Astyanax mexicanus: one gene and its partners. The protein of the gene in region 2 purifies or fractionates together with the protein of the main gene of each other region. This does not show direct contact. Links are inferred from orthologs where the notes say so. Each region holds a gene or a part of one and is shown on either strand. Other genes may lie near its edges. The genes, in order: prkra, dicer1, ago3b and ago1.

The links.
Region 1: the proteins of dicer1 (region 2) and prkra purify together in Homo sapiens (co-immunoprecipitation; 4 studies listed by BioGRID and IntAct, with this or other methods). This does not show direct contact. The link is inferred for Astyanax mexicanus from reciprocal best matches to the Homo sapiens genes DICER1 and PRKRA.
Region 3: the proteins of dicer1 (region 2) and ago3b purify together in Homo sapiens (affinity purification with mass spectrometry; 3 studies listed by BioGRID and IntAct, with this or other methods). This does not show direct contact. The link is inferred for Astyanax mexicanus from reciprocal best matches to the Homo sapiens genes DICER1 and AGO3.
Region 4: the proteins of dicer1 (region 2) and ago1 purify together in Homo sapiens (co-immunoprecipitation; 7 studies listed by BioGRID and IntAct, with this or other methods). This does not show direct contact. The link is inferred for Astyanax mexicanus from reciprocal best matches to the Homo sapiens genes DICER1 and AGO1.

What each region holds. Positions count from the first base shown.
Region 1 is NC_064418.1:32,496,289-32,504,024, reverse strand, and holds the start of prkra (interferon-inducible double-stranded RNA-dependent protein kinase activator A homolog), read left to right. Parts: upstream 1-4,727; 5' UTR 4,728-4,799; coding exon 4,800-4,837; intron 4,838-5,861; coding exon 5,862-6,034; intron 6,035-7,197; coding exon 7,198-7,279; intron 7,280-7,491; coding exon 7,492-7,570; intron 7,571-7,736. Other genes in the region: casp10 (caspase-8), read left to right, coding at 336-392, 479-552, 640-760, 881-1,388, 2,025-2,187. UniProt on the Homo sapiens protein: Activates EIF2AK2/PKR in the absence of double-stranded RNA (dsRNA), leading to phosphorylation of EIF2S1/EFI2-alpha and inhibition of translation and induction of apoptosis.
Region 2 is NC_064421.1:4,264,424-4,272,434, reverse strand, and holds the start of dicer1 (endoribonuclease Dicer), read right to left. Parts: upstream 3,014-8,011; 5' UTR 2,914-3,013; intron 1-2,913. UniProt on the Homo sapiens protein: Double-stranded RNA (dsRNA) endoribonuclease playing a central role in short dsRNA-mediated post-transcriptional gene silencing.
Region 3 is NC_064410.1:30,427,887-30,435,811, forward strand, and holds the start of ago3b (protein argonaute-3), read left to right. Parts: upstream 1-4,907; 5' UTR 4,908-5,580; coding exon 5,581-5,599; intron 5,600-7,925. Other genes in the region: olah (S-acyl fatty acid synthase thioesterase, medium chain), read right to left, coding at 100-182, 1,176-1,345, 1,530-1,629, 1,951-2,089, 2,908-3,042, 3,290-3,296.
Region 4 is NC_064408.1:119,808,971-119,815,884, reverse strand, and holds the start of ago1 (protein argonaute-1), read right to left. Parts: upstream 3,019-6,914; 5' UTR 2,893-3,018; coding exon 2,868-2,892; intron 1-2,867.

The DNA of each region.
Region 1 (7,736 bases), on a different chromosome or scaffold from region 2:
GCTAGGACACATTCTAAGTCACTCCATGACAGTCTGTCTGGACAATCAACTAAGTTTCATTCCTCTTGGTTTCCTTCCACTTCTGGGTGCAACTATTTTTTGATGAGTGTAAAGCTTGGGTCAAATGGCTCTCAGACCACTTCCTAAAATAGTTAGATTCTTTAGATTTGTATGTTTTAAATGGGTCTTTAAATTCCTTTTTATGTGTCTTGGTTTATCAAGATATAATGCTGATATTTATGATGTATGAATGGACCAGGTGTAACTGGGGTTTTAGAGTGTAATATACTGTGGAACATTTGCTTATTGTGTGTTCTGTGTGTTGTGACCTTGAGGTGACAATGTGGAGGGACAGATTGCTAACCTGAGCATCAATGACACTTCCAACCAAGGTAATCATGCTCTCGTAACCTTTTGCTTCCTATGGATCAATGTCTGCTACTGGTATAACTATGGTTTAAATATGATTTGTTTTAAGCTCAATCTCACCATGGTCGGTCAACAGAAGAAGTGAGCATGAGCTCTTTTGACCCCTACCAACAAAGCACTTCGGTAACATGCTCCTCTTTTTCTAATAATTGTAGAAGGGGTTTATTGGTGTCTGTTCTGTGACAGCTGCTTTGATATTTTGTGTTGTAGGAAGTGGAGAAGTATACCATGACAGGAAATTGGAGAGGATTTTGCATGATCGTCAACAACTACGACTTCTCAAATAGTCCCATTAAATTAAACTACAGAGGGGGTACAGATACAGATGAGAGTGAGCACAGCTAAGACATTTGAATTAAAATCACATGTACTGATTCATGGTATAATTCTGTGTTTGCTGTGGGATAAATGTATTGTCTTTCTGTCTGCCTTTCTTTCTGTCTGTGTACAGAGAGATTATTGAAGGTGTTTAAATGGCTGGGATTTACGACAGAGGTGGTGCGGGACTGCAGTCGTGAGCGTATGTTAAAGGCCCTACAAGATCTGAAAAGTCGTGACCACGGAGAGGCTGACTGTGTGGTGTGCTGTGTGCTGTCTCACGGTTATGAAGGTGGTGTTTATGGGGTGGATGGTGGGAAGGTGAAACTAAAGGAACTGATGGAGCCCCTGGATGGCTATCACTGCCCCACTCTCATTGACAAACCCAAGATCTTCTTTATTCAGGCCTGCAGGGGCATAGAAAGACAGAGGGTGGTGTTCCTGCAGTCAGACAGTGAGAGCAACAGCATGGAGCCTGAACTCTTCTCTGATGCTATAGTGCCCAGAGAGTCTGTACCTGCAGGGGCAGACTTCCTGATGTCCATGGCCACAGTGCCAAACTTTGTCTCATACAGGGAGACAGTAAATGGAACCTGGTTTATACAGACACTGTGTAAGAGCCTTGAACAGCTGGTGCCAAGGTGAGATTCATGTTTCCTTTGCTTTCATAGATTATGCTTACATTATTATACTGAAGTGACTCAGATATTTTGCCTCAATGCGACACAGATCAGATTTTTTGTCTAATTCAATATTTTAAATCGGATTTGAGTCACTTTCATATGGTTAGAGCTGTCATCATACACCAGAACCAGTGTTGTGCCAAATTGTGACTCCCTTTCAAAATCCAATTCCTCTTTGTCTGCCCATGCATCTTGCAGCAGTGGCAAAAAAATAAATAAAAAAATAGTGAGACCCGTAAATGTATCTATATGCCATTTTAGAGACCTGCGTATTTAATAACATTACAGACAAATACAGATCAATTTATTATTTATCACTTTACCATCAAGATAGTAAATGTAAAAAAAAAATATTCAAGTATTTCACCAGGTAAATAACAACTGTCAGATTCAGTGTAAACTCGGAAAACGATTCAGGATATTGGTAGGAAACTATGACTTCATGTATGCCAAATTCCTAACCTCTTACAAATATTATCCTTCCTGCTTCTCCAAAGTTACATAGTGCAGTATGCAGCATCCCTATTATTGGACCGTCACAATGATTTAAAGCTGTTAACTGTTATTTTCCCTTGTATTTTGCTGTGTGTGTAGGGGTACTGATCTGATGTCCATCCTGACGCAAGTAAACAATGAAGTCAGCAAGAAGACCAGCAGATCTGGCTTAGAAAAGCAGATGCCACAGCCAGAATTCACTCTGAGAAAGTTAATCATCTTCCCTGTTCCTTCAGACATCTCTACATCTTCCTTAATATAATTTAACTGGAACTGTCATGCCCTTTGTGTAATTTATGTGAAGACAACATTCAGGTTTTGCAAACTGGACTCATTTGCACATTTTTGATGGCATCCTGCCATATTTACTTGTAAAACTTCACTCTACACAGCTCACATATATTCTTCATGTCCATGCCAGCTGCCTTGTAGAAAGTACAAGTGACAGCTTGTAAAAAACCAATTATTAAACCCTCAAACTTGTCATCAATAAATGGTGTTCTATCCACTGAGCCAACCACTGTCCCCATCCCTGTGAACCAAATGTGCTGCTCAACCTGTCAACTAACAGTGGAGGAGGCAAAGAGGGGTGGCAGGACTGGAGTATCCAGATGCACAGACAGTGCAAACTTGTACACTTGCAGAGTGAGTTTAAGAACCCTCACACGCTTTGTATTGCTAAAAGTGTACTGAGGCTTTCACAATGATTCTATACATTCCAAAAACACATGATTTTCTTCTAAGACAAAAAAACAAACATAATATATTTGTTGTTACGCAGAAACCTTTCATCTCTAAGAGAAGAGAAATAAAAAAAAAAGACTTTCAGTGTCAATTTAATGTAAAAAAATAATTTCAAGAAATGTTGGATATATTCATCATGAAATATTGACACAATGTAAAAAACAATTGCTAGATTCAGTATTTCAGTACTTATTTTTGATGTTGTTTGCCTGAAATATTTGTATGCATACTGTGTTTATCACATTTGTATTTTCCAACTTGCAAATGTAAATATTAAATTAATGTAATACTGACCAAACAACAGAAATTTAACACAGTTTAGATTTTGTTGCTCTGAATCGTGTTTGTAGGAACCTGAATCCTGAACGTTTTTAATCTCAAATGATCAACTATTGGTCTCATTAAAATATACAATATTACTTCTGAATGTTTTTGTAATGAATAAATGAGTATAAAAAATACTCAATACTTGATGTTTGATGTACTAGAGTTTTACTTGATGTTACAGGTATGTGTTTGAATGACTTAAATGCCCTATTTTTTTAAATATTGTGCCACAATTATCATCTTTAATTACATTTAGATAATTTATATCTATAGCAAACATTTCTATCCAGACTGTAATTAAGTGCTGTCATGATTGACCCTGGTGTTGCACCTCCACAAGCAGCTGGGCTCACCTGTTTCCTATAGTTTAATAAGTTTCAATATTTAAGGACTTACCTTGTTTGTATGTGTACGACATTTCGAAGCATTTGTTAATTCTTCCTGTTTGTTGTGTTTGTCTTCTTGTTTCTGGTATTTATGACTATCTTTCTGTATTTTTGACTTTTGGATTTGCCCCAGTCTGTACCGTTTGCCTGTGTTCTACTGTTTTTAGATTATTAAAATCTGCAGTTGAATCCCTTATCCCGCTTTGTGTGACAAGTGCTAGTCTTTTACTCAAAACATCTAAAGCTATTATTGACAGACCCCAGCATTACAAAATTGCTAGAATCTGAATGTAGAAATTACCACAGTTTGCTAAAACCCACGAAAAATAAAACGATATATTAAATGCAATTTAAAAACTACGATGAGACACCATCTCAAAATATGGACTTCTCAAAAATCACATCTGAAAACAATGATAAACTCTCAAAATAATGACTTAGAATCTCAAAATAATCAGATAGCATTTCAAAATAATGATTAACTTCCAAAAAACGATTTAGTATCTCAAAATAATAAGAACATTTCTAAATAATTACTTAGAATCTCAAAATTATAAGGTATTAATACAAGATAATTACGTAGGGTCATTATCAATCAGATAGTACTGTGACGACCGCTAAGGAGACACAACGGATGGAACCATTCTCGCAAAACAAACGTCTTACCGCTCGTTTCTTGCTTTTACACATGTAAGGCAAGTACAACCCGAAACACCCTTGTTCAGAGCTCCTGGCCAGGTGGCCAAACTGGCTACCCTGTTACTCCAGGGTAGCACGTCATTTGCATGGCCCCTCCTACAACAGCCGAAGGGGCCCCCACGTGACACACACACAAAACACAGTATCCCCCGTGCTCGCCACAGTATCTTAAAATATGGATTTAGTATCTCTAAATAATAAGATTGCAATTTAAAATAACGATGACCCCTCAAAATATTGACTATATCTATCTCAAATTAATTAGATAGAATCTCCAAATATTTATTTAATTTCTCAAAATAACAAGACAGTATCTTAAAATGTATGGACTTTCTAAATAGTAAAATCTTGATCTTAAAATAACAAGTTTACTTAACAATGAGGGAGGAAATGTGCTGAATTATATTTTATCTTAAGTGGAGTGTTCTTCTGAAATATGCACATTTGCTCATTATGCTGCTGCCCAAATCAGTCACCAGTATAAACTGGCCAGAATATTATTTTTTTAAATATTCATATCCATGATCCATGTTCACAGTCTACAACAGCGACTGGCTCACTGCAGATACAGGCGGGGTGATAGTATAACCCTGGAAGCCTATTGGTCAAAATGCGTGCCAGTTTAAATCCTGGCTGTCCGATTGGATACACACTCAAACACGACTCCAGCCTCAAACACAGAGATAGATCCCCGTAATTTTCGGATGCCGCAAGAAGTATGGCGAGCACATCTCCTTCAGTAATGACTGAATCCCAGTAAGTTCAGCTTCAAGTTAGTAGTTATATAGCTGTGTGTTTGCTCTGTGTTTGGATATAGTCTAATATAATCAGTGAAACGGCTTTAGACCTGTGTTTAGCTCGAGAACTGGCACAGCTTCCACTGTCTCTGCAACTTCAGCAGAAGCCGTTTAACTGCTGAAACTTACACCGGTATCTAACCAACCTATCTTAGCTTAGCTAGCCTAGCTAACGGCCTTAATACACGAAGAACGACGAATTAATGTGAACATAAACCCAAGAAATGCTAAAGTAAATTTAGCAAAACGCTACTAAGCTTTGTAGTTAGCAGAGGCTGATGGTTAGCGTTAAATGGGTAGCTTTAGGTCCTGTTAGCTAACGCTCGCTAGCTGATGTTGTGTTGAGATCCGCAGATTCCAGTTTTATGAATGTTGCTGCTGCCGCTTTAGCTATGGTAGCTATTTTACGGTAAACTATCTGACAGCTGTCCGTATATATAACATAGGTTGGCTAAGCTGCTAAGCTAACCTAGCTAGTTTTTGCCGGGTGTTTTATCGAATTATGCTACCCATCGATACGTGCTTCCTAAGGGCACTGCGCGTGTGCTGACCTAACTTGCGCGTTTTGATTTTTTCTCTTGTTTTTTCTTAATATTTATTTTTTTGTGCGTTACACAACCTGGACTCATTGTCATTGCACAAATAATAATATTTATAATAATGATAAATACAATCAATATTGTTGTTCTATTTTTGTTATTAAAAAATACAAAAGCAGATTTGTAAATGTATTGCCATACATTTACCACGATATAGTGATTTATGCTATCCAAATATACTCGCTAGTTACATCTACTGAGACCTTGCTCTAATACGGTGCTTCTTTTGTATTGTTACAGTTAAATATACACTAGGGTAGCATGGTTTGGCAAAGTAGCATAACAAGACAGAACACCTTTTTGCCGGTGTGATGTGACGTTAGCACTATGATTAAGCTAAGCTAACAGTATTTTCTTATTTTCCCCTCTTCACTTATTATTCAGGCCGGCTTCGGCGGCTCAGCCCGTTGCTGCTGATAAAACCCCTATTCAGGTGCTTCACGAGTACGGCTCCAAAACAGGCAGGCTGCCCGTGTACGTTATGGAGAAAACGGATGGAGAGGCTCATCAGCCTTTCTTCGTCTTTAGCGTCACAGTAGGGGACATCACCTGTACAGGTAAGACCCTGCTAAAATAAGCAGCATGGCCTGGTACAGATGGTTTACCAACTTAGCTCTGGACCAGCATAGAGTATGTTTTAATTTGTGTTTGAACAAGAATGGATTCATGGTTGATCACCAAAGGTAAATGATCCTGTTCATGCTTGACAGCCTGTGTGACCAAGCTTGATAGGTATTATACAGCATCATGACCAGCAAACCATGAGCTATTCGTGCTGGTTTAGCCGGTTGACTTAAAGTAGAACTCCAGTGTGAAATGGACTTTGGGGGCATTAACACGTGATTAACAATGCTTATCTTTGTTAAATAGCCCTCTTCTGTTCTCCCACAGCTTTCTGAGATCCAGTATTTTGTTTGCTTTACCCAAACAGGCTTTTAGACTGGGTGATACCGGGCATAGTTTGCCCTTGGAGATAAAACGAGAATAAGAACTTCTTGTGCAGTTTTAAGGTTCTAAGTGCCTCGTTTTAAATGTCAGGGCTCTCCTGATTCTACCGATGAAGTGTGGAGCTACTTTGAGCCTGGATAACGGTATAAAAGGGGATTTATCTGCATGGGCAAACTATGCCCCGTATCACCCAGTAGGCAAAGTGCTCGAAATACTGGATTTAAGAAGGCTGCAGGAGAGCTGAAGAGGGCAATTCAACAAAGGTAAGTACTTTTTATTACGTTTTAAGACACCCAAAGTCTGTTTCACACCGGAGTTCTCCTTTAAGTGATTAGTAGGATCTCGCTGACAGACCAGCAAGCTGGTTGACAAGCGTTATCAGGCAGGTGAATCAGCAAGAATGAGCTGATCGCCCAGCATGAGCAGCAAGGACAAGCTGGTCGACCAACATGAACATCAAGTACGAGCTGGTCGATGAGCATGACCAAAATCAAGTGCAAAATACACTATGCTACTATGCAACTAACCAGCTATCTTGCAACTGTAGGGTATGTGTCTTTTCAAAACCTTGGTTATCAAAGCCCAGTCAAGACTATCCACAACCATGTTATAGCAAAAGCTGATCTTGAGTATGAAATACTGTTAAGGGGCTCATACCATTTTTTAATTTGACTGTTTGTGTTCCGAGCTATTTAAAGTATTTGTTTAATGGTTTCTAAAAGGACTCAGTATCATTGTAGATTTCTGTGCCATTACTGTTTGTTGCATATAGGTCAGGGGCCGAGTAAAAAGGCTGCCAAACACGAGGCAGCAGAAGCGGCTCTGAAAAGGCTAGACCTGGACACTGAAAATAAGTGAGTGCACACCAACAACTGACAGAAGTTAAGGCACATCTAGTAGCAATGGTTGGACAAACAACTTATTTACTTTCTTAAAATCTCTAATAAAACCCCCAAAAACAAACTTAAGCAGTTTTCAACAGTTCTTTAGACATATATAGTCTGTTTTTGATGTAAACAGTATATGTGTAAGTGACTTCATCTAACATATTTCCTCTTTTTCAAAGGCCCATTGCTCCAAATCCAGAGAATAATGGCTATAGTGCTGAAACAAATGACCAACACAATCCAATTGGCATATTGCAGGTATGTCACTCACTGTGCTTTATTAAACGCAGTATAAAGCATGGCATTGTATTTTCGAAAGGTAATTTTCTGTAGTAGTTGAAAAATTTGTTTATTTTCAAATGAAGACGGAACTTTAGTAAGGAAATTTTATGTCTTTCAAGATTTTTTTATGACAGAGACAACC
Region 2 (8,011 bases):
ATTTATTTGTGGCACTTTATAACAGCATTATTTTAACTGCTTAAACTTTAAATATTTTACAAATTATTATTATTATTATTATTATTATTATATTATTGCTGGATGCATTATAGTTTGAAGAGTTTCTTTTAAAGAAATATCAGCATTAGATTAAATAATATTAATATAGGTCTGGCAGAATAGATACTTTTCACTACTGTATTATAATGTCTCAGGATATAGTGAGCAGAGAGGGAGGGGGAGAGAGAGAGAGAGAGAGAGAGAGAGAGAGAGAGAGAGAAAGAGAGAGAGTGAGAGAAAAAGAGAGAGAGAGAGAGAGAGAGAGAGAGAAAGAGAGAAAAAGAGAGAGAGAAAGAAAAAGAGAGAGAGAGAGAGAGAGAGAGAGAGAGAGAGAGAGACATGTCAGTATAGAATTCCAATCCCAGCCCTAGAATGGAGGTACTAAATCTCTGGCAAGCAAATAAGTTTAAAAAAGGCTAAATAACATATGACGTCAAATTGCTGTACAGTGCTAGGATAGTAACATCAGCTAAGCTAAAGTAGCCCAAGAATTTGTTTGTTTACAAAAAGTCTGGCTGTGACTTGAGTAGCACTGCTGAGATAAAGTTATGGTTAGAACAGTACTACTGAGTAAGAGGTAAGTTAGAGACCAGTGGCACTTCTAATGTAAATGTGTTATTAGAATAACCCTGTTGAGACAAAATACATTGTGCTGGATGGAGCATAAATTATTCCAGAGAACACAGTTCAACAGTTGAGGAGCTTCATAGTTCAACCCTGCAATTAGGGGCCAGAAAATCATGTTTACGTCTCTACATTCTGTTTATTTGCGCCAGGGGGTCCTATTCTTTTGGCAGTTCTTTGTCAATAGTTGTGCTGTATCTGTACCCACTTTTTTATACTACACCACCCTTATAGTTTTGTATTACACTGTTCGGTATCCATCCATCCATACATCTTGCTTAAAGCAGCACTAAACCACCTGATTTTTGCTGACTTCACCCTCAGCTCAAATTTGGGTGATGTATGGGTTTAAGGGCAGGAAGAAGGAAGAGCTGATTGGCTGAGCTGTGCCTCTGATAGCAGTAAGATGCTGATGGTTGGAAGTCACCAGAGGTGGTATTATTAATTGATAGATTGATTGATTGATTGATTGATTAGAAGCTAACAGCGCTAGAAACAACATAGCTGAAAAGGTTCGTTCCTGTGTTATTTGTGCAAATATCACATCAGTGTTATATGTTTTGCCCAGTAATTCAGGTCTAAGGAACAAATGGTTAGAATTTGTCTATATAACACCACCAGTGAAGTACAAGTAGGTGTATGTTCTGTTTACACTAGTTAAAAATGAAAACCTGGACCTGGATTACCCACCTCTGTGTGTAACTATAGGTTTACATGGGATCTCCGGTGGATTTGGCATTTTACAAAGACTCTAAGACTATATCAGCGGCTGAACTGCACTTAGCAGTTAAAAAATACTCTTGTACTAGTATTACACTTGTTGTAAAATAACATATGACATTGCAAAGACTGTTATTAGTGTGAAAATGTCTTTATTTTAAAACGTTTTAACTGTTCTCCATCTCTCCGCTTCCTGACGTTGCAGTGCTGTTAACCAATCAGAGGCGATATGTTTGCATGTATGTATTCATGAGCAAGAGACAAATCCTGTTTGTTTCTACCCACCCACTGCTCCACCTGACTAAAGCAGCCTTATACCAGATTACCAGAGCTATTTTTTTATAAACAAAAACCAGCTCACATGGAATATATTCATACTAGAGACCTCAAAAAAATGATGGAACAAGACCTATAAATGTTAGGAAAGGTTTACAAAAAATTAAACAGGACTGGTATGTTTTTTTTTTTACTTCGGAAGAACACTTTAATAAAAGCTATTTATGATTTTAAAAAATGATTTAGGGTTTAGTGCCTCTTTAATGACAGATTAAAGATAATCACCCAGTGTGAGACTTTACACTATCTTACACTAAAGTCACTCAGATCTTGTGAATCTTGTGAATACAGCAGATTAAACTGATTTAACAGTGAAACAACAGCTTAAACACAGTAAATACTGTTATCAAAGTGTCAATACTGTAAATAATGTGTGTGTGCCAGACTCCAGGCCTCGAGGCGACCTTGGCCTTGTGGCTGCGTTCAGTTCACACAGCAATAAATCCATTTACAAACCCTAAAACAGCATTTCACCATGAGTACTGCATTCTGTAGCGCTCACACCTTACTATTACATTAATATATTAAGCTATAAAGCTGTAAATTTACAAATCTGAGCTGCATAGATTCTGTTCTGATCATCTGTGTGCCATCATGATGCTGAGAAGGGTAATTATATTCACATAAATCCGGGATAAGGTGATCAGATCATGGTTTGCAGGTAAGTAAAATATAGTATTTGCTGTTTAAACTTCAAAAACTGTTTAAAATAATAAAGAGCATGTAAAAAATAAGGTATAAGTCTGGTCAGCTAACGTTAGCTTAGCTACAGTGATCTGTATCCATATGCGCGCTGCAAAAACTAACCTAGGTTAGCTAACTAGCTAAAAAGCTAACTACATTATTAATTAAATTATATACAATAAAGCCATAAATACAGTTAATTTCCACAGTATACAAATAACCAAGATTTCACACCCAACTCCTGTCCGGTTTAATCTAAATTAACCTTATTTATGAGCTGAAACATAAGCTAAGCTATGAGCTAAGCGTGTTGGCCTGGCTGCTGATTAGCTTAGCCGCTATTAGCTTAGCCAGCCAAGCTAACGCACCGCGATCCGACATTTCTATTACACATTTTGCCCAAAATCGCAGATTCTAACCCCAAATCCGCCCCGCGGACAGTTTATAAAATGTGTCCCAGGTGTGGAGAGTAAAGATCGGTGTGTTTACCGGCTTTGCGCGGCTGGAGATCGCGGTTTTATCGGTGTTTAGTCCGTGAGTGTCTCTCCCTCCCGCTGCCGGAGAAACGGAGAAAAAGCGACCGCATACGGTTTTAGCTGCAAATTCACCCCGCGGGACTTTTATTCTACAATGTAAAAGTCCCTTCAGCACATTGGTTGTCAGATAAAATTATATTACTGACATACATAAATTTACTTATAAAAAAAATCGCAATGTATCATATGGGCAAAATATATAAATAGAGACATTTTAGATTTAGTTATTCTTGTTATCATTTTGGGTAAATATTATATATACTCATATAAGTGAAAAGCCATAACTCCATCATTCACATTGTTTATACATGATTTTGCCTTTTTTATATATATGTTTTTTTTTTCAGTGTAATATAATGTAAAATAATCCATTGCCCCTGTACAACTAAGAGGCAATGCGTAATTATTTGTAAATACAGTTTTAAGAGTTCTTTACTTTTTTATAATTTATATTGTATATATTGTACCCTTTATTTTATTTGTTATGCCTTGCTATCCATTTGTTGCTGTACTACTGTGAAATTCCCCACTGCGGGACTAAGAAATGATTATCTTATCTTCTCTTCTCTTTTCTTTTTTTCAAGTCACTAGAATATTTCAAGAGATTGAATAGAAATTGAATAGAAATTATATGATATCAAAGTCTTTGCTTTTTTAATTGTGTGAAACTTGACTTCCTTCATGTCCAAAAGACAATTATTGCCTCCTTGTTAGTATTTCTCTTTCTCTTAAGTGTTGCCTTATTCTGTTTTGTTTTTGTTGCTGTTTTTTTTTTTCCATTAGCTGAAAATGTACTTGTAGTGTACACTGGAAACCTTCCTAGAATAATTATTTTTGCTCTCACATTACTGTACACTTCTGCTACCTTTCTTGATTTGTACATTTACTTATTAAAAAAAAAGATCTCTGTTTTCTATTCATTAAAAAATAACTATTAATGTAAAATTATTAGAATTATTAATACATTATTTATACTAAGTGCCACAAACCAAATTGAGAAGATATAAAACTATAAAAAAACGTTTTAAAGTATTTTAGTAAAATATAAATATACCTTTTTTGTTACATACAGGAAAGTCACACATTACAGCAGAACAAAAAAACTAATAAAAAGCCTCAGAGAAGAGTGACATCAGGTGGCTGAAATAAATGTCTACAGCCTGCACTTTTCCCTCGAAGCACATAAACCCTGTGACATATGGGCCATGAGTGCAATTTGCTTTTTGTAACTCTTTCAAATTACATTTATTTTTAAAATCTTTTTCGAAATTGAATCTAATAACACATGTATTTGGTTGTTTAAAACATGTACTGGTCAAACTCAGACAGCTTTACTTATTTTTGTACAGTTGAAGATTATAAAACAAAGCTGAAGATGGTTACAAAACACTCATGTATCATTTAAAAAGAATGTGTTTAAAGCAAGTCCACTTATTCCTTTTATTTTCTCTCAAGAAAGCATTTATTTTAAAGAAATGGTTGACTGCATGTTCAGATAATTAATATTTATGACAAATAAAAAATCCTCCTGTTAATGGCACTCGTTCCTGTTACCAAAACTCACTCCTGTTACTGGTGTAAAGGAATTAAAAAGACTACAAAATAATAGAAAAATATTTATATATAATAAAATGAATTCTTAGTGAACAAAAGGGCCGGTTGTAATGTTTCATACTGCTGTTGGAGTTTGATTGATGTGCTGTAACAGCAAAAATTTATTTTTTTTGTCTGTTTTTATTTTGGACTACAATTCCCTGCACCAACAAGAAAACTACATTTTCTTTTATTAATTATCGCTCCGTGCCTCCAGGGTTGCCAGGTTTGCTGTTTCCCTCCAAATTGAGCTTGTTTAAGCTACAAAAAAACGTTAAAGAAGAAAGAAGAGAGTTCAAGAGGGGCAAGAACAGAAAAGAGTAAATAAAATAATGTTATTATGTTACTATTAAATGTTCTTGACTGAAAATTAAAACTGTTATAAATAAAATAATAAAACACTAATGTTACAATACTAACAATGACTTAAAGATAAATAACAATACTGTTCATAAATCCCTTATAAAATCAAGTAATTCACTCAGATGTTTTGCCATTTGCTTCAAACGTGTGACAAACTTAGATTTTGGTCTAGTTTAAGGTTCAGAAGGGTGTGTTTTAGACTGTGTTTGGACTGGATATTTTTGTTAGACCTGGCAACCCTGCTTCCGTACCTCATTAGGAGCTTGTACGCAGCGCAGGAGGTAAGCAGAGCAGAAAAACTCCGAAAATGTGCTGTTTTAAAATAATATATGTATTTTTGAGACACGTTCTTGGCAAAAGGAGGTTTTATATCAGTTCTAGACACATTTTTGTGTGTTTTTAGCAGGTATTGAAGCATATTTTGCCTAATAATTACTCATTTCTGGGTTACTAACGTTTTGGCGCCAAAACGCTAGTTACCACTATGACCGAACTGGCTCCCTATTTACTATTTAGGGCACTATAAAGTATATCAGCCATTTTTCTCCGAGTGTCCAAATCGTAAGGGAGAAGTTGCATGTGATTTTGAGGCACTATAAACTCCCATAATGCATCCTGATTTATAGTAAATATCGCCGTTTTCAGTGTGAGCTAAATGTGTCCCAGAATGCATTGCGAGACTCACTACTAATCAACAGACAATCGATCAAACGAAGCAGACAGCGAGCCACCAGGGTTGCCAGATTGATACAGTAGGAATCAGATAAGTCACTGTTTAAAATGTTTAGAATTAGGGGTGGGCAATATGGCTCTAAAATAATATCACGGTATTTCAGGGTATTTTTGCGATAACGATATACTTGGCGATATAGGAAAACTAAAATAATTCATTAATTTCAGGAATATAGTATAAGAGAATAACAGTATAATCATAATGTGGCAAAATAAATAATATAGCATAAAATAATACAATGCAGCAAATAATACTGCAGAATATTTAGTGCATGAATATAAACTGCGAACTAAAACAATTATACAATAAATACACCTAAAGCTTCACAGTAAATAATAGACTACTTTTAAGACAGAACAGCCCTATTATCACGATATGGATTTTTAGTATCATGATATTTCTTTGTCACGATATATTGTATACGATATAATATTGCCCACCCCTACTTAGAATCCTCCATAATACTGAGTAAAACAACCTTACAGCTAATGTTCAGCATATCTACAATATTACAGGGTTTATTCCAACGTGATCTTAAATAAAACACCTTAAATATTTTATAATATCACCAATTAAAAAAAAAACGTTATTTAAATGGTTTTATCTGCATGTTTATATTATATATGTGTTTTGTGCATTGTATAGTAGGACGAACGACCCAAAGCAATGAAATGAGTAAATACGTAGAGTTACATAATAACCAACACAAACACTTTTTATTTAAACTTCCATCAGCAGGACTGAAAAATCCGTCTCTGCAAGTTTAGCTAACTAACCACAACGCTGAAGAGTTATATTTTCAAACTCTTAACACTTTATACAGTCAATTTTAGACACAACTCAACATTTAGTATAAAACAGCCAATCTGGCAACACTGCAAGCTGATGTACGCTGTTTATTTCAGATGTAGTTAATTAATGTGAGGATTATGTTTGTAAACAGCGTAACTTAAGTATAACAGTCAGAGAGGAAGAGCTTCACTAATTTTAATTCAGAGCTCAGTTCAGTGTGTTTATGAAGTTTTAAACACGGTGTTTTGTCGAGTTGTGCTATCTTGTCAAACCGTGCTACCCTAGTGTATATTTAAATGTTTAAAATACATAAGTAGCACCATATTATAGCATGTTCCCTGTAGAAAGCCCAGTAAATGTAGCTAGTATTTTTGGATAGCATAAATCACTGTGTCATGGTAAAGTTATGGCAATGAGAGGTCATTACAGACTGCTTTATTTTATTTTTTTTTTGTAAATAATAACTATTGTATTTATTTTAATTAATTAATATTTCCACTTTTGTGCAATGACAGTGAGTCCAGCTTGTTTAATGCACAAAATACATTTCTATTATGAAAAAAAAAAACACAAAAAAGGTGTAGGTCGGCGCATGCGCACTACCTTTATGTATCGATGGGTAGCATAATGGGTAGCATAATTTGACAGAACACCGTTTCAGTCAGTCAGATGTTTATTTATGCGAGCAGAACGTTTTATACACGCTCTGAGGGCGTGTCTGAATTCACTTCTGTTTCACCACTACTTAGTGAATTCGGACACGCCCTCATCATTAACATGCGCCCGCTCTGCTCCCTTAAACACCTGACCGGCTGAACTGTGTTTCAAAACTCCATAAACACACTGAACTGAGCTCGGAATTAAGGTTAGTGAAGCTCGGAGCTGATCATGGAGTCAATAATCTCTCTAACTGTTATATTCACGCTGTTTAGAAACATAATCCACACATTAATAATGAACTACATGGAGAAACTCTTGAAATTAACAGCGTACACCGGCTTATAGTGTTGCCAGATTGGGTGATTTTATGAAAAATGTGGAGTTGTGCTTTGAGGGGTGGACAAAATGACCAAGTATTAAAAGTCCATCGTTGTTTGTTGTAGTTAGATATCTAAAAATTGCAGAGACAGAGCTTTATTCCTGCTGATGGAAATTTGAGTAAGTATTGTTTGTGTTGGTTATTCTGTATGAGTATTTGCTTCTTTCATTGCTTGCGAGCTTATTTATATGTACTGTAATTGCTTTTCTTGTTTTTTGTGTCTTATGATACGCTAAACACATATATAATACACACATGCAGATAAAAAAAATTGTCTGCTTTTTTTTGACTGTATGCAGTTTAGTAGCAAAACTCTCAATGCATTCTGGGACACATTCAAAAAGTGTAGTAAGCAGCCATGTTTATTATAAATTCGATGATGATGCATTATGGGAATTTATAGTGCCCTAAAAATCATGTTCCAACTTTACTTAACGATACGGGCTCTCGGAGAAAAATGGCAGTAGGGCTGCAACTAATAATTATTTTGATAGTTGACTAATCTGATTATTTTTTCAATTAGTCAATGAT
Region 3 (7,925 bases), on a different chromosome or scaffold from region 2:
GAATATAAACACACACAATATTTTAACATTCGTTCTCATGGACGATGGAGTAATGCTGGAACACCAGTACTGTTCAGGACAGTCCTACGGGATTCTAACCTTGTAAGTCGTGTGGCATGTCTTCCTTGCCATCAAAGCACGAGACGGGACATGAAAGAAAAGGTCTTGTTGGCCTGCTACACCTGCAACACACAAACACACACGTAAACATTTACACATATAACTTTCAGTTCTCAGTGTAATCTGTGGAAATCACAATGTCACTTTGAATGCCACTGGAAATGTCCTTACAACACTGGTGGCACTGGATTGTAATTGAAAATTGCTGTATTTTTCAGACTATACAGTGCACCTAAAATACTTTAATTTTCCCAAAAATCGTCTGTGCTCCTTATTATCTGGTGTATGAATTTTACCAGTCAGGTTGTAAGGAGCAGCAAAACTACTGTGCTGAAGTAAAGAGTTATACAGGCGTTTTAGTTTAGTTCTCCAGCAGTATTAGCATTACCCGCTAAGCGCTAGCCATTTGGCTGCTCAGAGGTGAGTATTATCTTGTATCTTATTAGCTTGTAGTCTGCTGCTAACCTCGGCCAACACTGCTTGAGCAGCATTAGCATTACCTGCTAAACATGCTAGATATTTTTACTGCTAACTGATATGGCCCTGGCTTACTGGAACACTCAAGGTTCCTCAGTGTAGCTCTGTCGTGCAGCAGTTAGGCAGCATTAGTTAGTTCCAGCATTAGTGGAAATCTGTAAATCTCTTAAATTAACTCCCAAATTAACAGTTTTTAGGAGAGAAATCTGTGTAGATTTACATCCAGCACTCGTTTGACTTGTCTGACTCGTATGAAAATGTTTTTTTTTTTAAGAATTACAGTTTCTTTTACTTTACATATCATAGCTTTACCGGTCTCCCCACCCAGCGGCAAGACCTGCTGAATTAGAAGGGAAATGTGGAGACACCCCTGTTTCTAAGAAATGCTGCTTAAAATGCTCCTTATAATCTGGTGCATCTTGTGTATGAAAATAGATATTTATTGATAGTGTGCCTTATAATCTGGTGCACCTTATAGTGCAAAAAATACAATACTAAAAATGTGTTAGTGAAATTGTGTTACAAGAAATATATTAATTATATAAAAACTCATATGCAGTTAATTGCATTCCACCAACCTGTAATTCTCCACTACACCGAGGTCCGCCTTCAAAGCTGGCAGGAACAGCTTCAGCACTTCAGGATTGGCCAATATTTCAGGAGGAGTTCCTCCAATCGAGGTCATCCACTGAAGGAATTCTTCATCAGACAGTTGGCTTCTCCGTGGGGCTTGTAATCTGGTTTCAGACTGACAGAGAGGATTAATTGTTTTAGCTAAAAAGTTATTGTAAATGTTTCTTTACACATTTACATGTTTTAATTAAAAAACATGTAATGATTTACCAGCAGATAAGTCATACCACTTTACAATAACTTATATTATGCCACTGTTCTCTTTGAAATCACTACTGCAGTGAACAAACTGTACTTACATAAGGCGCAGAAGCTCCAGAGAGAAACACATGGACTGGTTCAAGATTGTGAACTTTTTTCACATACTCGGCAAAGGCATAGCTGGTCATAGCACCAAAACTGGGGAAAAGGAACCACAATGAGATGAGAAACCACAAAGTGCCTGAAGTAAAATACATGAAATTTAATGCGTTTTTAAAAAACTTTTTTTAAATCATTGATGAAATCTGTTGAAAACATTATAAACAGTGTTGTTGCATTTTGCCAAATAATGCAAACAACACAAAGTTTCCCAAACAAATTATGAAAGAAAAATATTTCCTATAGGAAATTTGGTTTCCATTTTTGCTAGCACCAAAATGTTGTTTTTGATCCCAGAGAACAAAAAACTTTACATTCATTTGTGAAGTAGATGTGAGATATAACTTTTTTAGCACCAACCTGTGTCCAAAGAGAGCAAATGGTTTCTCCTTGAGTTCTGGCAAAAGCACACTGATGACCTCATCGAGGATCTGCTGCATGTGCTGGAAGAATGGTTCTTTAGCTCGGCTCTCCCTGCCGGGCAGTCTGACTGAATACACTGCATATCACAAAGAACAAAAAGAGGAGCAATAACACAAGCAGCAAAAAGCACCAACTGTCAGAGCGCAGACACATAATGTATCAACATACTTTAATATCCATTTAATTTGCATACATTAAACGCTTACAGCACCATCTCAGAAAAAGTTTTGAGAATGTGGAAAAGTGCATAAGAAAAAGACAAATCTTTAAATACTCTAAGATCTTATATAAACAACAGCCTATTTGCATAAGTGACAGAGCCCTTAAGCAGATCATTCTGAAAGGGGCTGAATCTGGCATAGAACTGGAATAGAGCTGGTGAGGCTCTTTATGTGAGAGTGATTTAAATAAAGATGGTTTAAATGTTGTTTTTCTATCATCAATCTTAAAAATATGTAAAGTAACAAAAAAAATCAATGTTTACTTATAATGTTCTTCTTAAGTAATAAGAATGGTGGTGTACAAACCAGTGCCAAAGAAACATTTTTTTTTGTTTTATAGCTATAAAACAGAAGCAGGAACTGTGATCATTTTTCTTATTTTTCTTACTTATGAAATGTAAAACAAATTTCACAGTTCACAGATTGAAATGCTGGGAACAGTGGATGAGGGGCCTTCAAACACCAGAAAATGCTATAAAAGCATCTAATATCTGATAAAACATCCTGATCATTTTATCATTTAATGTTGAAAATATAATACTTAATGGTCCTTCAAATCATTTAAGCATTGTAGAAATAAATCCACATGATCTCACTTTGATTTTGTTGCCAATATATATATATAAATACAGCACAATAATACACAGTAAAGGTCAGTGTAGCGGAGAAGTACCTTCAACAGAGGAGTTGAGGAGTCTCCCCCAGCGTGCGTAGTGGATGGAGCCTCCACCTGCCCAGGGGAAGCAGATCAGTCTGACCACAGCGTCCGGCCTCCTGCTGAAGCAGCTAATGACTTTATCCATCCCAGCTACAATTAAACAGAGTTAGAGCTACTGGTGATTAAAAAATAACAATACCATCCTTCTGAACTAGGAACCAGTCTACAGCTGAGTAAGGTTATTTACATGAGACTCCAAGTCCAAGTACAAAATAGCAATAAATAACCTAGATAACAGTCTAGGTTTATAAGCTCCACTGTTTCATAACTGTTTGTTTAAATATACCACTGATAAATATGTCTACTGACACTTCAGAATAAAGAGCAAACTATTCACCTGCCATTTAAAGACATTACACTGTAGTACATTACACTGTAGCCCGTCCAATCACTGTAACGTTCCCTGGAACAGATCCCTGAGGTGCCTTCAACACCACCCAGTCTTTACTTCAGTTCATATCAGTTTCAACCCTGGAACACAAACAAAATAAACGATTTAACTTTTTATCTCTAAATAATGAGGGTGTATACCGCTGTTCTGCTTAAACAGAACCAGGAGCATTTAAACTCTAAACTCTAAACGCAGCTGAACGTTTCATACACACACATGTTGAAGGTGCGCTTCTTCAGTCTTTACTTCAGTTCATATCAGTTTCAACCCTGGAACACAAACAAAATAAACGATTTAACTTTTTATCTCTAAATAATGAGGGTGTATACCGCTGTTCTGCTTAAACAGAACCAGGAGCATTTAAACTCTAAACTCTAAACGCAGCTGAACGTTTCATACACACACATGTTGAAGGTGCGCTTCTTCAGTTTCTTCTGTGGTGAGCTCAGTTAAATCCAGAGCGCAATGCTGCCATCTTCAGACCACTGTGCTAAAACAGCCACCAGACTTTTGAGACTTTTACAGATTTTACCTGGAGTGTTTTCCTTTCTTCTATATTTAATTAATCAATTAATCAATCACATACATGTATTTTCACTCTGAGGTACACTGAGGTACATTTTCAATGCAGCTGAGCATTTACAATAGAAAAATTTAAATATAATATGAAACCACCGCATACAAACACAACATGGAATAAAATAAGCAAGGTAAAACATTGAAAAAATAAGCATAACTAAGGTTAGATAGCAAAATAATCATTTAATTTAATAATAATAATCAAAATAAATAATATATATATATTTTTAAATAAGAAAAGAAAACATTTTAACATTAGACAAGAAAACTAAAATAAAGCCAAAACTAACCATTAAATTAACATAAAAAAACAATATGGCATAATGTTTCCCACAGGAATCAAACCATATTTTGGTTATTGCACTATTCCATACCATACCTTATTTTATATTATTTTTATTATTATATTTTTTTTATTTGTATTATAATATAATGTTGCAAGGCATATCTATATCCAAAACAATGAGGCGTACAAGTGGGTCATAAATAAAAATCTATATACGCGCAATAATACGTAAAGAAGTATATTTGGTTGTTTATATTCTTATTTTATTCTTACAATCTTGTTGTAAGCTTACTAAAACGTGTTTTCTTCTAATGAGCTTGTTATCAATTATCAACCAAAAAAAACAACAAAACTTTATTTTCTCTCCAAAAATATATTTCATGCCTTTTGAGGGTTAAGACAATAATAATATTAATAATAATAAGAAGAATATGTTTTAATCTATAATGAAAAAATGAATAAATTTGAAGAAAAAAATCGTTATTATAGGAAAGCTGGGTAGTGGAGGTGGTTATAAAATAAAATTGCAGCGAATTGAGCTTCAATGTTTTTCTGTTGTGACTAAAACAGAATTTCAGAAACTTAATTATATTATTATTTATGTTCTTTAATGAATTAAGTCTCAGACGTGGATCAGAAATGAATGACATGGTTGCAGGATGTGACGGCGCTTCCTGCCGTTGGTATTTCCTGTGGTCCCCCTCCCTCAGCCCGGCGGTGGAGAGAGAGATGGTGAACCGGTTACAGGAGCGGAGAGAGTCGGAGAGACGAACCGGTGAACCAGCGAGAAAAACAGCCCGGAGCTGAACCTCTGCTGCGGTGCTGAGTGTTTTATTATAGAAGGACGAATTTTAACTGGTTTTAGACTGTAATAAACTGTGGCTGAGTGGAGGTTGGAGGTTTTAGTGAGTTTTATCGAGTGTCAGACAGAAGCTGCTGCTCTGGTTCGAGTTGAGAAGAAGGGAAAAGCTGTTTCTCGCTCTCGGGAGTTTTTACGAGGAGTTGGTTCGGTTGTCAGCTGGGAGTAATTAACGCTACTGAGTCCCGGTGAACGGAGGGAGCTACTGAAGGAGGCGAAGGACACGGCGGGGAGGCTGTCTTTAACCTAACTAACGATAAACACCGAGAACCGAATGAAGCTAAGGCCGAGCTGACCCTCAGGGACGGGACGGTCTCATCAGCCGCAGCGGAGACCGGCGACCGCGGCCGGGGCGAGGAGGACAGAGAGGTAGCCGTTAGCCGAGCTCCAGCAGCTCCAGCGGCCCCACAGCGGCTCCGCGGAGACCCTACAGCACCACTACTACCACCACCCGTAAGCCGGGCACCAGCTCTGGAAAGCCGGCTGACTGGAATCCGGGCAGAGACCTCATGAATGGAAATCGGTACTACAGGTAGGTTTACGAGCTTCTCCCGGAGCGTGACCCCAGCTGGGGACCCGGCTGGGTGGGGTTAACCAGCAGGTGAAATAACTGGTTAACTAACTAGTCAGGTCAGATAGTTACAGGAGGGTCTTCTGAGGGGACTGTGGGGCTCGTTCAGGGGTCCGTATGCACTGTGTCTCGACCCCTCAGTGTTGTGTCGATTTTAGCAACCTTGTCAAACTATGCTACCCTAGTGTATATTTAAAGGTAAAATACGAAATATTAGAACATGCTCGCAGTAAACGTGTCGGTATGATATTTGAATAGCCTACTCGGTGTATTAAGGTAAAGTTAAGGCAATATAAGTGATCAGAAACAGTTTTATACATTTTTTTTTAATCATTTTTATCTATATTTTTATCATACATTTTTACACGGTTGTAACACTCGAGCTAACGATGACAGTAAGTCCAGATTGTACACTGCACCTGAGATTTTTTTAAATATCAGGAAAAACACAGGAAAACAGTTAAATCGAGAGTTTAGCGCATGCACAGAACCGCTTAGTAGCACAAATCGACGGGTAGCACAACTCGACAGTACACCCCCCGGCTCCCTGTAACTTAAGTAACGCTAACTTAACTAACCCAGCTAACAGTTGTTTTAAGCCGTTTAGCAGCTGTTTAAGTTGTTTAGTTGTAGATTAGAAGTCGTTATTCTGGAGGTTTATGCAGGCTCGGCTGTCTGGTGGTCGATTGGAGGCGGTTTGAGGGTTTTTACCCACTCGCGGTTTCCACGTCACGGCGCTGCGACTCGCCTGTCACGCACAGGTGGCGTGGAGATCAGGTGCTGCTGCGTGAGCTGCTTGTGTGTGAGTGAGAGAGATATTGTGTGTATTTATTACTTTGTGAGGACCAGACGCCCCATAACTAACAGGAACGCACAGGAATCCTAAAGTCGTGGGGGACACCTGTAGTAATGCAGTACAACACAGCATTACAGTAAGCCTTCCCCAAAAACGATAGTAATACAAACCTATGTATCTGTGTGTGTAAAAGTGAGAGAGAGAGAAATTAAAAGAAAGAGAGAGAGATTTTGTGTATTTATCACTTTCTGAATGCCAATTGCCCAATAACTGCCCCACACGGGAATTCTAACGTCGTGGGGACATATGTAGTAAAACAATACAGCAGCATTACAATAAGCCTTCCCCACAAAGATAGTAATACAAACTCGCGAGAGTGTGTGTGGTCACAGAGGGGAGAGTGGGGGAGGCCTCCCGTTGTCATGGTGACTGAGTTACTGGTTGCTGTGTCACTGGTGACTGCTTTCCCACAACTGGTTTAACTGGAAAACATTAGAAATCAGACCCAAACTGATATACCAGTAAAGAATTACCTGTGACCAGTTGCTCACAGATGATCAGATTAGTAGTGTGTGGTTCTAGGTTTCTGTAAGTGTCTAGTCTGCACGTGGTTTACAGGTCAGCAGTGCCAGAAGATCAGTCAGTTCCCTGCTGTTAAAATCAGATGTATGGTTTTGCTAATTTCTTGTCTTAATATTTGAAGAGTTCATTTGCAAAAATGGATAAAGCTATGTTTAAAGGATAGCATCTATCTATTTGTTTGTGCAAATTAACTCTTAATTTCTTTAATGTGATCTATATCTTTTCATCACTGCTTGTAATGCTAACCATACACTAGACGACTTCAAAAACACTCTGAAAACACTTTTAATAGACTAAAGTCTGACACCCTCTCACGTCTAAAGACAAGTTACAGACTTTTTAGTCACAGATGGCAAAGACTGGGGATCTTGAAGGGTCACTATTTGCAAGACTGCAACTAGATTCTTTCAGAGTTTATTTTATTATGTTTTACTACTATTTTTATTAATATTATTATTATAAGTAGGAAATGTGTTAAAGAGACACTCTTGCTCACTACACAGCTCCACCAGTTTCTCCTACTTTTGTATACTCTAGGAGAACTGTGGTTTCCGAGCCATCACTGGAGTCTCATCCATTTCATGTTCCGCAAACCTCCCTACGCTTGCCTTGTGGCTTTCCGTAGCCCTCCTATTGGTTGTTGACATTGACATTGTTCACTTATGATAATATTAAACACGGTTGATTTTAGCTCAGTTAAACCACAACCCATATGGCCACCTCATTGTATGACCGTCATAATGTCATAAATGTATTGTACAATATATGGATGAATATGACCTGGATGGTAATTTTTCTGTCCCTAATTTTGTTTATTATGCATTTTTTAGCAAGGAGAGCCCATTAATGTGAATGAGCTGATTTGCTAACTCTTTAAACTCTGTTTATCAAACTTGTCAGAGTAAGAAT
Region 4 (6,914 bases), on a different chromosome or scaffold from region 2:
TTGACTGTGATGTTATTACCAATACCAATGACATCTGAGGTAAATTAAACTCAGTATTAATCCATCTGAATAGGGCTTTCATTAGCTGTTGTGCGTTGTTGTGCATTATGACATATAATTACATAACCAAGAGTATGACTTCTATTAGCTTTTTTTTCCATTTTAAATAAAAAACAACTGCAACACACAACACACACCAAAACATGTACCAATATTGCTTCTTTAGAAATAAAAAAAAATACTGAATTACCAATACCACTAAGTACAATTACTTTTTACACCAATTTTACCCAATGACAAAACAAATATAACAGAAAACAGTACCTGTATGATAGGTCACTGATAATTATGTGATCAAATTTTGGTTAATAACAATGTTATTCCTGGCCCTGCCTACCTGCATTTAGCAAAGCATGTTTTCTTTAATAAAGTACAACAGTTACTAGTTTGTATTATTTCAACTGTGGCTTTTTGGCTTTTCCAACTGAAACTAAACTCATGGGTATCATGTAAATGCCTTGCTACATTAGATTTCTTGGAGTGAATCAAAGCACACTGACAGAGAAGGGTCCGCACCCCATCCAATTACATCATGAAATTTACACTCTGACAGAGGTCAACTCTGAGCCCAAAGACAATTGTCATCAAAACCCCACAACCCCAACACAGCTGGTTATCAGTGTAGAGTTACCTCTGTCCCAATGATGCCCTCAAGCTGGCAATACAGACATCTCCACTAAGTTAGCAGACAAATATTCCAAGAAAGTCCAAGAAAGGCAATTTAAGAACAAGAAATATTAGACAGACCTGTCTACCAAAAGATCATCAGGATATTTGGTCAGACTCTGGTGTAGTGGGGCACTACTCTACTGTGCAGTGATATTTGCACAAATATGACTGTTATTGAACTATGTGAATCAGGAAACACTCCAATAATGACATAAACATGATTAAGGGCCTAAGAAACTTCTTTCTTGAGACCTCTATATTAATAGAATTAATATGACCCTTATTGAACTATGTGAATCAGAACACACAGTAATGATAACAACAACCACAACAGTAGGATTGAAGGACCAAGAAATGTCTTTAAGACCTCTAGCTTTAAAAGAATTAAACAAAAGGCATTTTAAGATCAAGAAAACTATTAGACAGACTTGTCTACCTAAAGATTTTCAAAATAACTGATCAGGCTTTAGTGTAGTGGTGCACTATTCTACTGTGCAGGGATATTTGCTCAAATATAACCATTATTGAACCATGTGAAGCAGAACACATGCAACAATAATAACAACATGATTAAAGACCCAAGAAACTTCTTTCGTGAGACTTATAGCTATAAAAGAATTAAACGAAAGGCATTTAAGACCACGAAAACTATTAGTCTTGTCTACCAAAAGATCTTCAGGGTAACTGATCAGACTCTGTTTTAGTGGTGCACTATTCTACTGTGCAGTGATATTAGCTTAAATATAACCGTTATTGAACCATGTGAAGCAGAACACATGCAATAACAATAACATGATTAAAGACCCAACAAACTTCTTTCGTGAGACTTCTAGCTATAAAAGAATTAAACGAAAGACAAATTAAGGCCAAGAAAACTATTAGACAGACTTCTGTACCAAAAGATCTTAAGGATATTTAATCAGACCAAAAAAAACTTTCAGACAAACTTGTCTAACAAGAAATCTTGAGGGTAATTAATCGGACTCTGGTGTTGTGGTGTGCCCTACTCTACTGTGTAGGGATATTTGCACAAATATGGCTGTTATTAAATCATGGGAAGCAGAACACACTCCAATAAAAACAACAACAAGCTTAAGAAACTTTCTTGAGCCCTTTAGCTATAAAGGAATCAAACAAACAGCATTTTAAGATCAAGTAAACTATTAGACAGACTTGTCTACCAAAAGATTTTCAAAATAACTGATCAGGCTTTGGTGTAGTGGTGCCCTACTCTACTTGATATTACATTGATATTGATATTTGCACAAATATGACTGTTATTGAACTTTGTGAAGTAGAACACACTCCAAAAAATTACGATTAAAAGCCCAAAACACTTATTTTATGAGACTTCTAGCTATAAAAGAATTAAAGGAAAGACAATCTAAGACCAAGAAAACTATTAGACAGACTTGTCTACCAAAAGATCTTCAGAATATTTTATTCTTGCGACTCTGTTGTAGTGGTGTGCACTATTCTACTCTGCAGTTGAACTATGTGAAGCAGAACACACTCTAATAAAAACATCATGATTGATGATGAAACTTCTTTTTTGAGACCTCTAACTATAAAAGAATTAATCAATCCATCAACAAGCTTACATAGTTAGGCACTAGTAAAACTGGGACTAGAACAGACTAAGAAAGGCTGACATTATTTATGAGTCAAGCAGCAAGAACCACACATCTGGGCTTGGGGGCTGATCAGAAAGGGCAAAGCCATAAATTTACCATAATCAATAATCATTGTGGGATGTTGGATGGGGGGTGGGGTTGGACCATCTGCATGTGGACAAGGCCTCTTCACTAAAGATTCCCACGACCCTACTGCCTCCTGACCCCTGCAACACATTCCCTTCCACCTACCATTCCCATCCCCAGATTTTTCAACCAATTTTTCAATGCTTGATCAAGCATGAGCCAAATGCAATTTTGCACAATATTCATATTTATTGAGAATAATGAAGGAAAGCACAAATTTTGGGGGGTTGCTCCACCTTGGATGGACCACCCATGCTTCTTAGATGGAGCTATAAGCTTCTACCAAGAAAACATACTTAAACAAACCCAATAATTATGAGAATTGATCAAAAATGAACATTTCCACCAAAAGCCAAGCCAAACCAGGCATCCACTCACCAGCGCCAGATGCTCCCGGCTCCATCCCATCCACTTAGGCGCGCCGTCTCAACGCAAGCCCCGGGGCTCCACCACCACCACCACGGCCGGCCCTCGCCTCTACAGCCTGCTTTCCCCGCCGTGGAAAGCGCCTCTTTCCTGGCTAAAAAAATAAAGAAAACCAACCCACCCCCCTGCCCCTTTTGCCCCCCCCTTGCCCCTACCCTCTACCCTAGCTGGAAGCCCACCCCCAGTCCCCCCGAGTCCTCCCCCCAGCTCCTGGACCCCGCAGAGCCGGGGAGACAATAGCAGCTCTGGCCGTGCTCCTCCGCTCCGCTCCGGTCTTTCCAGCGGGGCTGGCTGCGGCGCCAAGCCGGGGCTCCGCGCTCCAAGTCCCGCTTGGCCGGATTCCTCTCCCCGCTTTGGTTGTGGGTCTCCCTCCTCTTTTCTTTCCCTCCTTTCCCTTCGTTTCTCTCTCTCTCCCTCCCTCTCTCTCTCGGCGTGTCTGGGTCCTGCTCACCGTTCAAGCAGGATTCTCCAGAGTAGGAGCAGACCCCCCAAAAAAAACAAACAAAAAAAAAAATCCCACCACGGACAGCCGAGGAGAGAGGGCCGCCTTCTTCGCCTCCTCCTCCCGCTCACAGCGCCTCCTGTGCGGGGCAGCTGCTTTGTGCGGCCGCCCTCTAGCGAGCGGTGGTTGGGGACCGTTGGGGGGAAAGGTTCACACACTGCTTCACACTGCAATGAGCGTTGAACTCGTTAACCTCGAAAAATCTATTTATATATCCAAGATTTACTAGTATTCTTGATATACATGAATTATACTAAATGAGCTATTTACACAGGAGTGCAAAAGTTTGGGTTGAAAACAAAACTGCTTAAAGCATCACATTCTTTACTCAGATTAGGGTATTAGGGTGCCATTTGCTTGTTGTAACTCAAATTAAGCTTATTTGTAATATTTTTTTCAACTCTAATAACACATGTATTTAACTATTTAAAACATGTACTGGTAAAACTTTTTTTTTTCAGATTTACTTAATTGTTTACAAGGTTTCTAAGCTAAAGGTGATTACAAAACTTATGTGACATTTAAAAAGCATGTTTAAAAGCAAGTCCACTAATTCCTTTGATTCTCTCTCAAGAAAGATTATATATTAAAGAAATGGTTGACTGCATGTTCAAATAGATATTTTTTATGACAAAAAAATCAATCCTATTAATGGCACTGATTCCTATTACTTTTTTATGTTTTGAGTTATCATAGAATTAGCAAAAACAAGAAAAATAGCTAAATGGCGGCTATGCAAATAGCATAAGGACACTGAGCACATTTTAGTGATCTTCCCAAAATTTGTATTTTAAAAATAAACAAATAAGATTTAAGAATTATTTTAGATAACGGGACAGAGTGTTGAGATTGAGCTCCTTAGTCAAACAGAAATGACATACATTCGGTGGAATGGCCCATTAAATATTTTTGGTTTAAAAAATACTTCTGTAGACGTATTCTGACCCTAAACACTGCTCAAAATCTACTAAAACATTCATGCAGAGGATCAAGTACAATGTTCTGGAGTGATTATCTCAGTCCCCAGACATGAATACTATTAAAAATCTGTGCTGTGATTTAAAGCGAGCTGTTTATGATCAGAAACCATCAAACTTGACTGAACTGGAAATTATTTGTAAAGAAGAATGATCCAAAATACCTTCAGCCAGAAGCCAGACTCTTATTGGAAGATATAGGAAGTGTTTAGAGGCTGTTACTTCTGCAAAAGGAGGATTGTCTAAATATTGATGTATTTTTTCTGTTCAGGCCCAAATTTATGCACCTGCCTAATTTTGTTCAAAGATTTATTTCACACTTTCTGTAAATCCTATAAACTTAATTTCTCACCAGCCTGATCAGCATCACCAAGCTATTCCACCAGCCTGATCAGCTTCACCAAGCTATTCCACCAGCCTGATCAGCATCACCAAGCTATTCCACCAGCCTGACCAGCTATTCCACCAGCCTGATCAGCATCACCAAGCTATTCCACCAGCCTGATTAGCATCACCAAGCTATTCCACCAGCCTCATCAGCATCACCAAGCTATTCCACCAGCCTGATCCGCATCACCAAGCTATTCCACCAGCCTGATCAGCATCACCAGCTATTCCACCAGCCTGACCAGCTATTTCACCAGCCTGATCAGCATCACCAAGCTATTCCACCAGCCTGATCAGCATCACCAAGCTATTCCACCAGCCTGATCAGCATCATCAAGCTATTCCACCAGCCTGATCCGCATCACCAAGCTATTCCACCAGCCTGATCAGCATCACCAAGCTATTCCACCAGCCTGACCAGCTATTCCACCAGCCTGATCAGCATCACCAAGCTATTCCACCAGTCTGATCAGCATCACCAAGCTATTCCACCAGCCTGATCAGCATCACCAAGCTATTCCACCAGCCTGATCAGCATCATCAAGCTATTCCACCAGCCTGATCCGCATCACCAAGCTATTCCACCAGCCTGATCAGCATCACCAAGCTATTCCACCAGCCTGACCAGCTATTCCACCAGCCTGATCAGCATCACCAAGCTATTCCACCAGTCTGATCAGCATCACCAAGCTATTCCACCAGCCTGATCAGCATCACCAAGCTATTCCACCAGCCTCATCAGCATCACCAAGCTATTCCACCAGCCTGATTAGCATCACCAAGCTATTCCACCAGCCTCATCAGCATCACCAAGCTATTCCACCAGCCTCATCAGCATCACCAAGCTATTCCACCAGTCTGATCAGCATCACCAAGCTATTCCACCAGCCTGATTAGCATCACCAAGCTATTCCACCAGCCTCATCAGCATCACCAAGCTATTTCACCACAATGATCAGCATCACAAAGCTATTCCAACAGCCTGATCAGCTTCACCAAGCTATTCCACCAGCCTCATCAGCATCACCAAGCTATTTCACCAAAATGATCAGCATCACAAAGCTATTCCAACAGCCTGATCAGCTTCACCAAGCTATTCCACCAGTCTGATCAGCATCATCAAGCTGTTCCACCAGCCTGATCAGCACCACCAAGCTATTCCACCAGTCTAATCAGCATCATCAAGCTATTCCACCAGCCTGATCAGCATCACCAAGCTATTCCACCAGTCTGATCAGCATCTCCAAGCTATTCCACCTGCCTGATCAGAATCACCAAGCTATTCCACCAGCCTGATCAGCATCATCAAGCTATTCCATCAGCCTGATCAGCATCACCAAGCTATTCCACCAGCCTGATCAGCATCACCAAGCTATTCGAATTTTCAATTTTAGGGCACATAGCACAAAAAGTAAGAACATTTCTGTTTGGTAGATTATTTCAATTTGTAACAATGCTTCCTGACCATAATACCAATGAAAAAGTCTGTTAATTTCTCTTTTGAATTATGTCACCTTTAAAAGGAACATATATTCGACTGATGAGCAGCATAGCTGAGAATATGGGTTGTGCCCATGAAAAAATTGCCAAATCTTCTCTGTCATTGCCAAATAACTTATTATGCTGTTGCAATTAACACTTGTTTTTAGCTTCTGGTTCCTTCCAATTGGAAGCACCTGTGGGCATGGGCCATATGGGTTACAGTGGTCAGTAGGTGTCTGGCCTAAGAATTGGCATAATGCCACAGTTGACAGATCTTTATTAGCTACCTAGCTAAAACATTCCACACAATAAAGTAGTTAATGTTACCTAACCTAGCTGACTGTAAAAAAATAACTCAGCAAGGCAGATTATTGTAAGTCTTTGAAGTTGTCTGTTAGTTTAAACTATAGCTTGCTAGCTACAATTATCTCCTGTTTGCTACAGGTTTGCTTTTTAACTAGCTTGCATTAGCTAAGAAATCTAGCAATCTAGCTATCTACCTGATGGGTTTCTTAAACTGCAGTTAAGTTACCACTTGCCAAGATGTGACTATAGACACTATACACAAAAATAAGCAAAGAAGCATGTCTATGAGGCAGCTTCCCAGACAGTTCATATTCATAACCCCCCCTTCCATGATGAAAGTATGGA